Linked DNA regions of Mus musculus. The protein of the gene in region 2 purifies or fractionates together with the protein of the main gene of each other region. This does not show direct contact. Links are inferred from orthologs where the notes say so. Each region holds a gene or a part of one and is shown on either strand. Other genes may lie near its edges.

The links.
Region 1: the proteins of Prdx1 (region 2) and Prdx5 fractionate together in Homo sapiens (co-fractionation; 3 studies listed by BioGRID). This does not show direct contact. The link is inferred for Mus musculus from reciprocal best matches to the Homo sapiens genes PRDX1 and PRDX5.
Region 3: the proteins of Prdx1 (region 2) and Txn1 purify together in Homo sapiens (affinity purification with western blotting; 3 studies listed by BioGRID, with this or other methods). This does not show direct contact. The link is inferred for Mus musculus from reciprocal best matches to the Homo sapiens genes PRDX1 and TXN.

What each region holds. Positions count from the first base shown.
Region 1 is NC_000085.6:6,907,231-6,911,374, reverse strand, and holds the start of Prdx5 (peroxiredoxin-5, mitochondrial isoform 1 precursor), read left to right. Parts: upstream 1-1,268; 5' UTR 1,269-1,757; coding exon 1,758-1,916; intron 1,917-3,258; coding exon 3,259-3,393; intron 3,394-3,701; coding exon 3,702-3,833; intron 3,834-4,094; coding exon 4,095-4,133; intron 4,134-4,144. Other genes in the region: Trmt112 (multifunctional methyltransferase subunit TRM112-like protein), read right to left, coding at 516-623, 702-791, 911-1,012, 1,113-1,190. UniProt on the Homo sapiens protein: Thiol-specific peroxidase that catalyzes the reduction of hydrogen peroxide and organic hydroperoxides to water and alcohols, respectively.
Region 2 is NC_000070.6:116,684,308-116,688,498, reverse strand, and holds the start of Prdx1 (peroxiredoxin-1), read right to left. Parts: upstream 2,901-4,191; 5' UTR 2,839-2,900; exon of another isoform or gene 2,661-2,838; intron 2,563-2,660; exon of another isoform or gene 2,477-2,562; intron 1,093-2,476; 5' UTR 1,082-1,092; coding exon 976-1,081; intron 1-975. UniProt on the Homo sapiens protein: Thiol-specific peroxidase that catalyzes the reduction of hydrogen peroxide and organic hydroperoxides to water and alcohols, respectively.
Region 3 is NC_000070.6:57,949,807-57,953,428, reverse strand, and holds part of Txn1 (thioredoxin), read left to right. Parts: intron 1-1,527; coding exon 1,528-1,632; intron 1,633-2,530; coding exon 2,531-2,590; intron 2,591-3,622. UniProt on the Homo sapiens protein: Participates in various redox reactions through the reversible oxidation of its active center dithiol to a disulfide and catalyzes dithiol-disulfide exchange reactions.

The DNA.
Region 1 (4,144 bases), on a different chromosome or scaffold from region 2:
GCTGCTTAATCCGATCTCCTCTCCGGAGCAGAGGGGGGCTTGGAAAGCAAAGGCCCCGTCCCTTCGCTCCTCTCCTCATCCGCATTGGGCATTATTGCCCCCCCTTGAAGCAATAACTCCAAGCAGGCTCCAGCCCCTGGACCCCAGGGGTGGCCAGGGCCCCCTATCAGCTCCCACCTCAAGGGGTGGGGGACAGCACTGCCTCTATGCCCTGCAGAGCAATAACACTATATTTATTTTTGGGTTTGGCCAGGGAGGCGCAGGGCCATGGGGCAAGCCAGGGCCCAGAGCCCTTGGCTGTACAGAGACTCTATTTTAATGTATATTTGCTGCAAAGAGAAACCGCTTTTGGTTTTGAACCTTTAATGAGAAAAAAAATATACTATGGAGCTCAAGTACACGGTGGTCGGTGAGTCACTGGGGGGAGTTTGGGGGTCACACATGACACGTCTATTTAACAGACCGTACAACAGAAACACACAGTCAACAAAATACCAAAGTGGCGGCTAGCAAGGTTACGTCTCAGTCTCCTCATCATTCAACAGCATATTGGGGATCCCGCGGCTGATGGGGAAAAGACGACCAGATTCTGGGCATTGCAGGGTGCCCTCCAGTACATCAACCTGCAGGGGAGCAGGACAAAGCTAAGCACCGGTAGCCTCAGTGGGAGGTCTGGGCAGGCGATGCCCAAGGATTCTCACCTCAAGCAACACGTGGTGCATCTTCCTCAAAAATGTCTCGTCGTGCTCATAGCCTTCAGTCGGCTCTTTGGGTACCTCGGCCAAGTTTAACTGTGGAAAGGAAGCGTACGTGGTCAGTGGGCACACGAACACCGAGGCCGTCCGGGCAGGGAAGAGGCTCAGAGCCTGAGCCCGCCCCCAAGGGGCGACAGAAGGGGCGGGGTCCTTACGGTGTCCGCTGCCTGCACAAGCGCCGCCCACTCCACTTTGGGGATCATCCGCGCCACGAACTCCGGGTTGAACTCCACGGGGTTGATGCGGACCTCAGTGGCCTGCGGGGGGGGGGGGGCGGTAAAAAGGTTTAGCGAGGTAGGTCCGGGTCCCGGAGGCTCCACCCTGAACTATATGGGCGATGAACCCTTGTGCAGTTACCTGCAGGCGCAGCGGGAAGCCACGCGTGCCCACGCCCCGCACATGGGAGCTTAGGAGATTGTGGGTGAGCAGTTTCATGTTGTCACAGCGGAGCGCGTGAGGCCGGAACCGGAAGGAGTCCACACTTCTCCTTTCTACCACTTCCGCTTTGAAGCCGTTGAACTCTTCGCCGGACCGGAAGTGGCCGACTTAGGGGACCTTTTGGGGGGCTTGGCGGCAGCCGAGATCGGAAGGACTGTGTTGGGTCACGTCCTGGTACCGGAAGCGTTTCTCGGGGAGACTGCAAAGGCTTACGCCGAATCCCGCTCGCTGAAGAGAGTACACACTATGCAAGTCACGTGTAAACCGGCTGCGTTACGGCGCAGGTAAAACGAACACATTTGAGGCTCAGCCAGATCATCCCCGACCTCTGTTTGCGGCTATGGGTCACGAACTGTCACGTCGGTAAACCAGGCACCTCTTTCTGCGATTGAAGAAGGTGTGCGAGCCCTGAGAGCCCCGCCGCGTCGTAGTGCGTCACGGCCCTGCCCCTCTAAGCCGGCGCTGTGGCTGCGACGTGGGACGTGCGGCGTGGGCGGAGCTGTCCCTGCATCCACCTCCTGTGGGCAGAGCCATCTGCGGGTGGGCTGCGGCAGCGGGGCGGGTATGCTACAGCTGGGGCTTCGAGTCCTGGGCTGCAAAGCCAGTTCTGTGCTCCGTGCATCGACGTGCTTGGCAGGCAGAGCAGGCCGGAAAGAAGCAGGTTGGGAGTGTGGCGGAGCCCGCAGCTTCAGCAGCTCCGCGGTGACCATGGCCCCGATCAAGGTGACCGGTTTTACCTTTCCTGGGTCCAGCCTATCGCGTCTCTTTGGGTTCCACGCGGGGTCTCGGGCTGTCCTCCTTGACGTTTCTTCTTGTCATGTTTTTTGTAAGACCCTGTCTCTGCTTCTCCGTCCTGGGACATTTCTTGAGCTGCCCTCTCACATCTATGCCACGTCCAGGGACAAGTCCCCACCATTTTCAAGCGACCGAATGCTATGTCATTTCCCACATTCTTAAAATGCCTCTTTTGCCGCTTGGCAGCTTTTCCAACCCTTTCCCCAAAGCCCCAGCACTTTTGTGATTGTACTAAACTCCATTTCATCTCATCTTTTGAAAGAGCCATGGTCCCTTGGGGACCTGGGTTGATCTTTTCCACTTCTGTTTCCACTCTATGTATGCTCACCCCGATCCCGCCCTTCTGTTTGATCTTTCTGGGAATTCTTGAACCTATCCCCTCTCCTGTTTTTGGACTTAATTTTTAGAGAAAGAGAGAGGGAGGGAGAGAGGAAGGGAGGGATGGAGGGAGGGAAGGAAGGGGGGGGGCACACAGAGACAGAGGTTGACTTACTATATAGTCTTGGCTGGCCAGGAACTTGGTGTGTAGACCAGACTGGCCTCAAACTCCTAGAGATCTGTCTGACTCTGCGTCCCGAATGTTAGGATTAAAGGCCCTTTATAAAAAGAAGAAAAAAGAAAAACTTTTAAACATGTACTTAGTGTGTGTGTTTGGTAACAGGCATGTGAGTGTGGTGGTCAGAGGACAATTTTCTCAGGAGTCAGTTCTATCTACCATGTCGCTTGTGGGGCTAGAGCTCAGTTGACCAGGCTTGGTGGTGGGCACCTTTACCTACCCACCTCAGCCTTCCTTTCCTCTTGTGGCTCTGAAAGCCCCCAGGTGGGCTGACACTTCCCACCGACCCCAAGAGCCTACATCCTGAACATTTTGGCTTACATAGCTAACCTGGTTTTCCAAAGTGTTTCTCCTGGTGTGTGGATAGGATTTTTCTTCCTGCCTGTTACCAGGCGGTTTCTCAACCCCAAACATAGCCCTCTGTACCCCTCCTCTGTGCATTGACCCATCTTGGGTGGCTTGTTTATACAGTATTGCAACACTTGAGAAGGCCTCTCCCTTTCTCTGTTGCCACCAACTGGCCTTAAGCAGAATCAGTCATGTAGGATGTGGGGCAGGCAGGACATACAGGAGAGCGAGGACAGAAATGGACCCCTGAACCGCCAGGCACTTTTTCTGCTGGGTGTGAGCACTGGCTCCATCAAGGTCTATCTGTGTGGCTGTGGTTCACTAGTCTCTCTTCACTCTGTTTTACCCTGGAGTCTTTTTCTCCAGGTGGGAGATGCCATTCCCTCAGTGGAGGTATTTGAAGGGGAACCGGGAAAGAAGGTGAACTTGGCAGAGCTGTTCAAGGGCAAGAAAGGTGTTTTGTTTGGAGTCCCTGGGGCATTTACACCTGGCTGTTCTAAGGTGAGACTTCTCCTTTCGAGAATCAGAAACTGGGGACCAGGAGTGTGGGAGAAAAGAACCCACATTAAATCTGATAGCTCTGATTGACGCTGGTGGTGGAAGCCCTTGGGACTCGGGCTAATGAGACAAAAGATTTGCCTATGGTCTTGACCATACACCCTTAGGTCCAAGCTTCCTAGTAGCCAAGGCAAAAAGGAAGTGGCCAGTTTCACACTGGTTTCCTTACCCTGGTCAGGGATGTTAGGAAATAGGGGGAGCAGGCTGAGCAACTGCAGTTGCTCTCCTTTGACCTTTTGTTTTCCTCTCAGACCCACCTGCCTGGGTTTGTGGAGCAAGCTGGAGCTCTGAAGGCCAAGGGAGCGCAGGTGGTGGCCTGTCTGAGCGTTAATGACGTCTTTGTGATTGAAGAGTGGGGTCGAGCCCACCAGGCAGAAGGCAAGGTGAGGTGTGGGGCCCGTGAGGGGGACGGGGCCAGGTAGGAAGTTTCCTTGTTTTTGTGACATGTTATTTACTCATTTTGTGTGTGGGGTGGGCACTTGTGCCATCATGCACGAGTGGAAGTCGAGGCTAACCTGTGAGACCTGAGTCTCTCTTACCAGGTGGGGTCGTGGGGACTGAGCTCAGGTTGCCAGACTTGGCAGCAAGCACCTTCACTCACCGAGCCCTCTCACTCCTTGTGACATTTATTCTCTTTTCTGCAGGTTCGGCTCCTGGCTGACCCCACTGGAGCCTTTGGGAAGGTGAGTGTGCC
Region 2 (4,191 bases):
ATATGGAGGCTCAAAAACATCTACATTCCAGTCCCAGGGGATCCAATGCCCTCCTCATGTACCATATGTACATGATGCTCAGACACACATTCAGGAAAAGAAAAAAACCCACCATACACATAAGATTAAAAAATGTTTTAACACCAAGCGTGGTGGCACATGCCTTTAATCCCAGCACTCGGGACGCAGAGGCAGGCAGATTTCTGAGTTCGAGGCCAGCCTGGTCTACAAAGTGAGTTCCAGGACAGCCAGAGCTATACAGAGAAACCCTGTCTCAAAAAACAAAACAAAAAAAAGAGGAAGGGAAAAGCAAAGGCAGGTTGTATCTATCTCTAGGAGTTAGATACAACCATGGTCTACATATTTAGAAAGCCAAGGGAATAGATAGTAAGACAGCTCAAATAAACAAATGATGAGAGCGAGCAAGAACTGACCAAAACAAAGGGGGACAAGATTGTGCAAGCTTTAATCTTAGCACTAGGGAGGTAGAGGCAGGAGGATGTCTTTGAGTTCAAGGCCAGCCTGATCTACATAGTGAGCTTCAGGACAGCCAGAACTACATAAAGATCCTATCTTAAAGAAAACTTTTTTAATTACAGTGAAAAAAGAAAAGGGAAAGGGCTAGAGAGATGGCTCAGCCCTTAAGAGCACCGACTGCTCTTCCAAAGGTCCAGAGTTCAAATCCCAGCAAGCAACTACATCCGTAACGAGATCTGACTCCCTCTTCTGGAGTGTCTGAAGACAGCTACAGTGTACTTATATATAATAAATAAATAAAACTTAAAAAAAAAAAAAAAAGAATTCCCCCAATAAATAAATGCCACTAAAAAAGGTAATCAGATAAATGTTAAGGTATAATAAAGCATACTTTCTCTAGAAATGACTCATACCTAGGATATCTACCCTTGTTATCACTGTCCTAACCTTGACTTCACTTCAACCTAAAGACATGTGAAGTGGCCTCTTTAATCTTACCTTTGTATTCACTTAGGCTGATATCTTTGAATTGTCCATCTGGCATAACAGCTGTAGCTTTGAAGTTGGGAGCAGGATACCCAATTTTTGCATTTCCTGAAGACATCTTGCTATCAGCTGGAAAAGACAACAAAAAAAAGTAAACCCTATTCTTCTAAATAAGCAACAGCTTTCACCTACCTAGGAACTTAACTGTAGCTCAATCAGAACACAGGCTCACAGTTAAGGGTCCCAACCCAAAGCTCCAACTCCAGGGTAAAATTGAGACTGAAAAATCAGCCTTTGTTTTCACTTGCTAACAGCTCCACAGTGTGTCTAAATAGGTCAGCTCTCCCACCCTTTCTAAGCCAGTTTTTGCAATGGCATTTTATTCTGCATATTCATTAGGGAGAAACGGGAAGGAAATGGAACAGACACAAAAATCCCAAGCACATCAATGCCAGGACACTGGCATTTATTGCTTCAGATCTTTAGGTGTTCTGTTTAAGCTTAAGTTTTCTCTGCATAACTTGTTTGAGGCCAACCTAGATTTAGTAACCGTGTCTTAAAACGTTCTTTAGGTTTAACCCAGGGACAGTGGAGCATCATCCCAGCACTCTGCATGCTGAGGGAGGAGGATACTGAACCGAGGGAACACTTGTCTCAATTTCTGTATGAGGGAGGTTACGCAGGTTAAGGTAATTGCTATCTGATGACCGTAGTTCCATCTCCAGAATGCCCATAAGGATGGAAAGCCGACTTCTACAAGGTTCACACACACAAATGTTTAAAAGAAAAAAACTTGGGATGTGTAATCTCAACACTTGGGAAGTAGAAGCTTAAGATTCAGGAGTTCAAGGCTAGCCAAATTAGAGGCCAACCTATTTCCAAGATACTCTAAGAAAAATACAAAAAGAGTCAATGTACTGCTAAGAAACCGATTTCTGCACTATCGACCCAGGTCAACACCAAGACAAATAAATTGTTAAGATGTACAACATTAGGAGCTTCAGCGATGGCGCAACAATTTAAGAGCCTACACTGCTCCTTTCCGGAAAAGTCCTGGTTCAGATTCCTCCACCCACTTAGGATGGGTTCACAACCACCTGTAACTAGCTCGGGGGGGGGGGGGTGTTTACCACACAGGTAGACATACACATTAAAAAAAAACCCACAATCTAAAAGAAAATTTACGCCTCTCAGTATGAGTGCAAGTTGGAATCCAAGTTCCAAATTTCTTGGTTCATAATACCAATAACCAAAAGAAACGCCAAGAAAAAAAGCATCTTTCATCGCAAACTTTAAAAAACTTTTAACTGTTTTTTTTCAGGGACATGCTGCACCTGCAGCATAGCAACTACCTATCTGGTGTGCCCCCTAACATAAACCATCTTTTAATCAAACTTGCTTTGCAACGTGGCCCAGCATTTCCAAACTCAACCAATCCCGGAAAAGCGACTTCCGGCCGCTGAGAAGTCTCCGTAGGAATCGGACTAGAACGCCGGAGAAGGTCACGCCCCAAGCTCGCTGGAGGTTACGTTCCTACCACTCACGCCATCACCCACTATAGCACATCAGAAAACACAACGACACAGCCCAGTGCGCGCGGTAAGTTCCAGCACAAACTCGTCCCACCAAGCCATCTCCGCCCTCTATCGGTGAGCGGGAGAGGAGGAAACTGAACGTTAGCCTCAGGGTTCCAACAGGTCCGGGAACTAAGCGCCACGTGAAGAATGCGAGTAGAGCTCCAGCACTCGCGGGACCAGGCCTCGCCCTGCCGCTTCAGCCCGTGATCGCCCGGGACGAGCCGGGACCGGCCAGAGGGAGAAGGAACCAGTGATGGGCGCGAGCCGCGTTTCTCAGCGGCGATACCCGCACACTCACCAGGGTCGAGCCACAGGTCTCACAAACAGAAAGAGCCGTGAGAACGCAGGAAGAGGTCGCCCGACAGCGCGCGCGGGGAGCTGCTTTTATAGCCTACAAAGTTCTCGCGAGATTCTCACGGGCCGGGGGTGCGGGAAGAGGGGGACCTGGCTGAGCCCCGCCCCACCCTGGCCGGCCTACGGGGGATGACTCAGCGCTTTCCCTGGATGGGCCTGGAGTGGAGGGGGTCTCCAGGGGGAAACGCTCACACTTTCAGTGATGCTGTTCCCAGAGGTAGAAAAGCACTGCCCTTTGAGTCATTTCCTCGTTTAATCGGGGTACCCGGGTAATCCGTGCCTCTCTTTATTCCCAGGACCACTGTGTGCTGTGCAATCAAGACCCAAACTAGAAGAAGGGTCTGTTTTACTGCTCTTGGAAGGCCACGTCTAAAATTAAACCACGTTCAGGGGAAACTGTGCACCCAAATATTTCTCAGTCGCACCCCAGCCTCACAAACCTATTCTAGGGCTGGAAAAGCTGGCTCAGCCGTTATAAGCCCTGGCTGCACTACCAGAGGACCCAGCCTCAATTTCCAGCACCCACATGGCAGCTCATAACTGTGTAGATCCAGTTCTAGAGGATCCAACACCCTCACACATACATGCAAGCAAAACACCAATGCACAGAAAATGAAAAGAAATAAATCGTTAAGAACAAAAACAAAACTCCTGTTCTAGTCTGGTCCTCATTAACCCTCACCACTGAGGGCAGCCTCCATTGGTCTCTGATTACTGGATACTGCTTTTCTGTTTCACACCCATTTCTTGCATTATTCTTAAATCTTTCTGAATCTCAGCCTGTCACTAAACTGATTTGTGGTTTTAAAAACTGGGGCTCTGTGGTCAATTTCCTGAGTTAAAAGTCACTGTTCCAAGCCAGGCAGTGATGGCACATCTTCTTAGCACTCTAGAGGCAGAGACTAATGGAGCTCTGAGTTCGAGGCCAGCCTGGTCTCAATTCAATGCGAGTTCCAGGAAAGCCAGAGCTACACAGAGAAATCCTGCCTCCAAAAAAAAAAAAAAAAAAAAAGTCAAGAGAGTTAAAGAGGGGTCAGGCTTGATGGCCAGCACTGGGAAGGTAGAGGCAAGAGAACCTCTGTGTTTTTTAGTCCATCCTGGTCTACATAGCAAGTTCCAGGACAGCAAGGACAACATAGAGACCTTGGGGGAGGGGAGGGGAAGCCGGATAGATACAAAGCTCAGAGTTCCCATTTCATATCACATGCTTTGTGTGATTTAGGAACCCAGAGATGGATATAATCCAAACTTTACCCTCTAGAAAGTCATGCTATAAGGATGGGGCAGACATGGAAAC
Region 3 (3,622 bases), about 59 Mb from region 2:
CACAAGTGATGTACATAAATACATGCAGACATAAACACTGATACTCATAAATAAATAAATGCAAATATAAGAAACAGTAAATATAAATTAAAATTAAAGTAAGTATACCCCCATGAAAATGCATTAGGTTTTAACTAGGGGTGTGTGTGTGGTTATAAGATATTTACTTTCCTTTGTTGGACCAGATATAATATTCTTAATTTGTCTTAGTTTTTGCTAAATAATTTGACCAGCATTTTTCCCAGAAGGAAATGTTGGCTTCAGATACAACTTGTGTGTGTTGCTTTGATTCACTTTGTTGCCCCGGTTTGGGTTTTGGTCACTCTCCATGACTAATGGTGGTTTGAATGAGTCCCTGGTGACTAGACTGTTAGGTTCCTAGGGTTACAGTCTCAAGGCTTTTAGTAAATAATTCAGAGAGGTTGGCAGTGAGGGTTTGTTTTTTTTTTTTTTTAATCATTTTTGCTGGGGATTTCATATGACAGAATAATTCCTTCTTGAGAAACCAAAACTTGGATTCATGTAAAGAACAGAGTTTTGATCCATAGGGCAAAAGCCAAAGGTGGATAAACCAGAAAGATCCCAACTCTATAGGCCCTGGTTAAAGCACACAGAAGGGGCTGGAGTGCTGGCGTGGTGGTTAAGAGACCCTCAGGCAGTACCCACTACCCATGGCTCCAGCTCTAGGGGGGATCCCAAGACCCCTCTCGGCACCAGCAGATACACACACAAATTAAATCTTAACACAGCAACACACAGGACATTATGCTAGTGATGAGCTGAGTAGGAGACTGCTCTCCTGGACTCTGCCTTGGGGTCAGAGGTTTTCCCATGTTTTACTCTAGACAAATACGGTAAGTGTTGCCTTCATTTGACCCTTGGTTAAGTAACTTGTGACTTCCCCATTGCTTAACTGTGTCTTCTTGTGGAGCTTCTTCAGTTTTTGAGGCTCCTTTCACCAACCCCCTAAGAATCCACTATCTATCACAGAACTGATTTTAAAGGGTAAACATTTTTACCACAAATGCCTATTTCCCTTTCTTGTATTTAGTGTAAATGTTGGTTATGTGCTAAGGATGTAACTCAGAGGCAGGTGCCAGGCCCTGGGTCCATACACCACCTCAGGTTAGGCAGTTCGTAATATCTTATACATATTCCTGAAGACTTGAAGACCAATACACTCTGCTTATATCACCTGATCAAGTATAATAATGCCAACTGTGTGCAGGATTCCTTTCAGGCCACTTTATGTGGTTGCTTTGGATTAAAAGATAGGCCCGAAGAGCCGAACCTCATCTTTTGTACTTAATATCTCTTTGTTGCTGATTTGCATGTTTGCTTGGGTCTTTTTGGAGGATATGGGGGAGGGGGGGTCCTCACTGACTGGCCTGGAACTGGCCACTGTGGTAGACCATGTTGGCCTCCAGCGTGAGTGCTGGGTTTAAAGGCGTGGTGGCACCTGGCCACATCTCACGGAAAGTGAAAGTATATGATGTGTAACACAGGTGTTTCTTTCTCCCTCTGCAGGAAGCTTTTCAGGAGGCCCTGGCCGCCGCGGGAGACAAGCTTGTCGTGGTGGACTTCTCTGCTACGTGGTGTGGACCTTGCAAAATGATCAAGCCCTTCTTCCATGTGAGTGGAGTAGCAGTGAGCTTTGAGGCTGGGTGGTAGACCCAAGCCAGAGAAAAGGATTGAAATTAATGGGTGCGAGGAGTTTGCTGTTTGCTTTATTTTATTCTCCTGTGTCATTGGCTTAAAAGTAGTACTAGCATGGAAACTTACGTAATATAGTTCATTGAGGACAACTTTGGGGAGTTTTGTTGTCTTAAATAATTTTGTCCCCTGCCCCAGGATCTCCCCCCCCCCTTCCCTGATTTGATACCTGGGCCTAGTGTGAAATTCGGCCTTCAAAGTTACAGTGCCGAATTACTTTACTCTTAGGAACACTTGACTGAGAGACAGCTGTGTCCCTGGCGCTTGCTTCATCTCTAGGCTGAATTTTTAGACCTGGCTAGTGAGATTGCTCAGTGGGGGAAAAAAAAGACACATGGCTCACCCTGCCAGCCTGAGGATCTGAGTTTGATCCTCAAAACCCACCCTGGAAAGACAGAACCAGTTCCCAGAGGTTGCTCTCGGACTTCCACATGCACCTGTACACATTTACATCAATAATAATGCAATAATAAATAAAATAAGTTCTTTCAAAATAAGTGTATGGAGCTGGAGAGATGGCTCAGTGGTTAAAAGCACTGGCTGCTCTTGCAGGGGACTTTGGTTTGGTTCCCAGCACCCAAATGGGAGAGTCACAACCTTCTATAACTCTTGTGGGGTGTTCAGCGCCCTCTTCTGGCCTTTGCAGGCGCCAGGCACACCCATGGTGTACAGACATACATGTAACCAAACCACCCGTATGCATAAGCTAAAATTAAATAAATGTTTAATCTCTGTTACATTTCCTTTGAAGACGCTTAACTATGTTGAATGCTATTATCCAGTTCTAACGCTTCTTGGTTTGTTTGAATGTTTCCAGTCCCTCTGTGACAAGTATTCCAATGTGGTGTTCCTTGAAGTGGATGTGGATGACTGCCAGGTACGTAGTACGAAATCGGATGCTACCAAACACCTTCACAGTGGCCTCCACTGGAGTCTACCCTGTTGTTTAAAATAAAAACGTCCAGTAATACTAGAAGTGGGACTCTAAGAAGTTCTATTTCGGAAGAATAGGGCGTGTGCCAGTTATGGGTGTGGTCCTAGACACTCAGAGAGCTGTGTTTGCACATCTAGAGTAAGCATCTCACCACTCGCAGCCTGTGGGGGCCTTTGGGGCCTATATTCTACATCCCCCCGCCCCCAGATGATCACTGGAAATAAGTTCACTTTGGCTCTAAGAGATAGTAGACTAGGTGGCATCGTGGAATTGTGAGGCCACTGTTGAGGTGCTCTGAACTTCTCGTGTGTGGGAACTGTATCCACGGGCTCTTTCTAAAAAGAATATTGTTATTCGTATGCTTGGTCTGAATCGGTGAGAAAGCCCTGGCATTACAACAAACATTAGAGTCACCCTGGTGCCTTAGAGAGCTGGGGGGAACTTAAGGGGAAACTCACAGCCTGGCTTTATTTAGCAAGTTCATGCCTGTTGTGCACTCAGCTCTGTTCTGTATACTTTCCACATTCTGATATCGTTCCTCTCCCGTTCCCCATGCTGCCCTGCTTTAGGGATGGGAAAGCTGAGACAGAGAAGACTTGTTCTTGCAGAGCCAGTATTTAAAATGAGGAAGCATACCTCCTCTGCCCTTGGCTCTTACTCTCCCCAGCTTCTTAGCATATGCCCTTTGCTCTCACACAGGCCACTGGGCTGGAAAGGCCTGTGTGGTATGGAGCACCAGGGCCCCGAGGAAGGATGCGTGAGTGCTTTTACTTGCCCTGGGACAGAAAGAAGTTAGCGAATGGGGTGGCCGCAAAGGTATTGGTCTCACTGGGTTCTGCTTTAAGCTAATCTCCCATCTTTTTCAACCCTGGTTCTCAGTCTATAATGAGATCTCTGTACCTAGCCATCAGCTTGGCAAAAGTTCGGGAGGGTCACATGAGGTGTTCAGAGGTCCTCTTCAGGCTCCCAGTATCC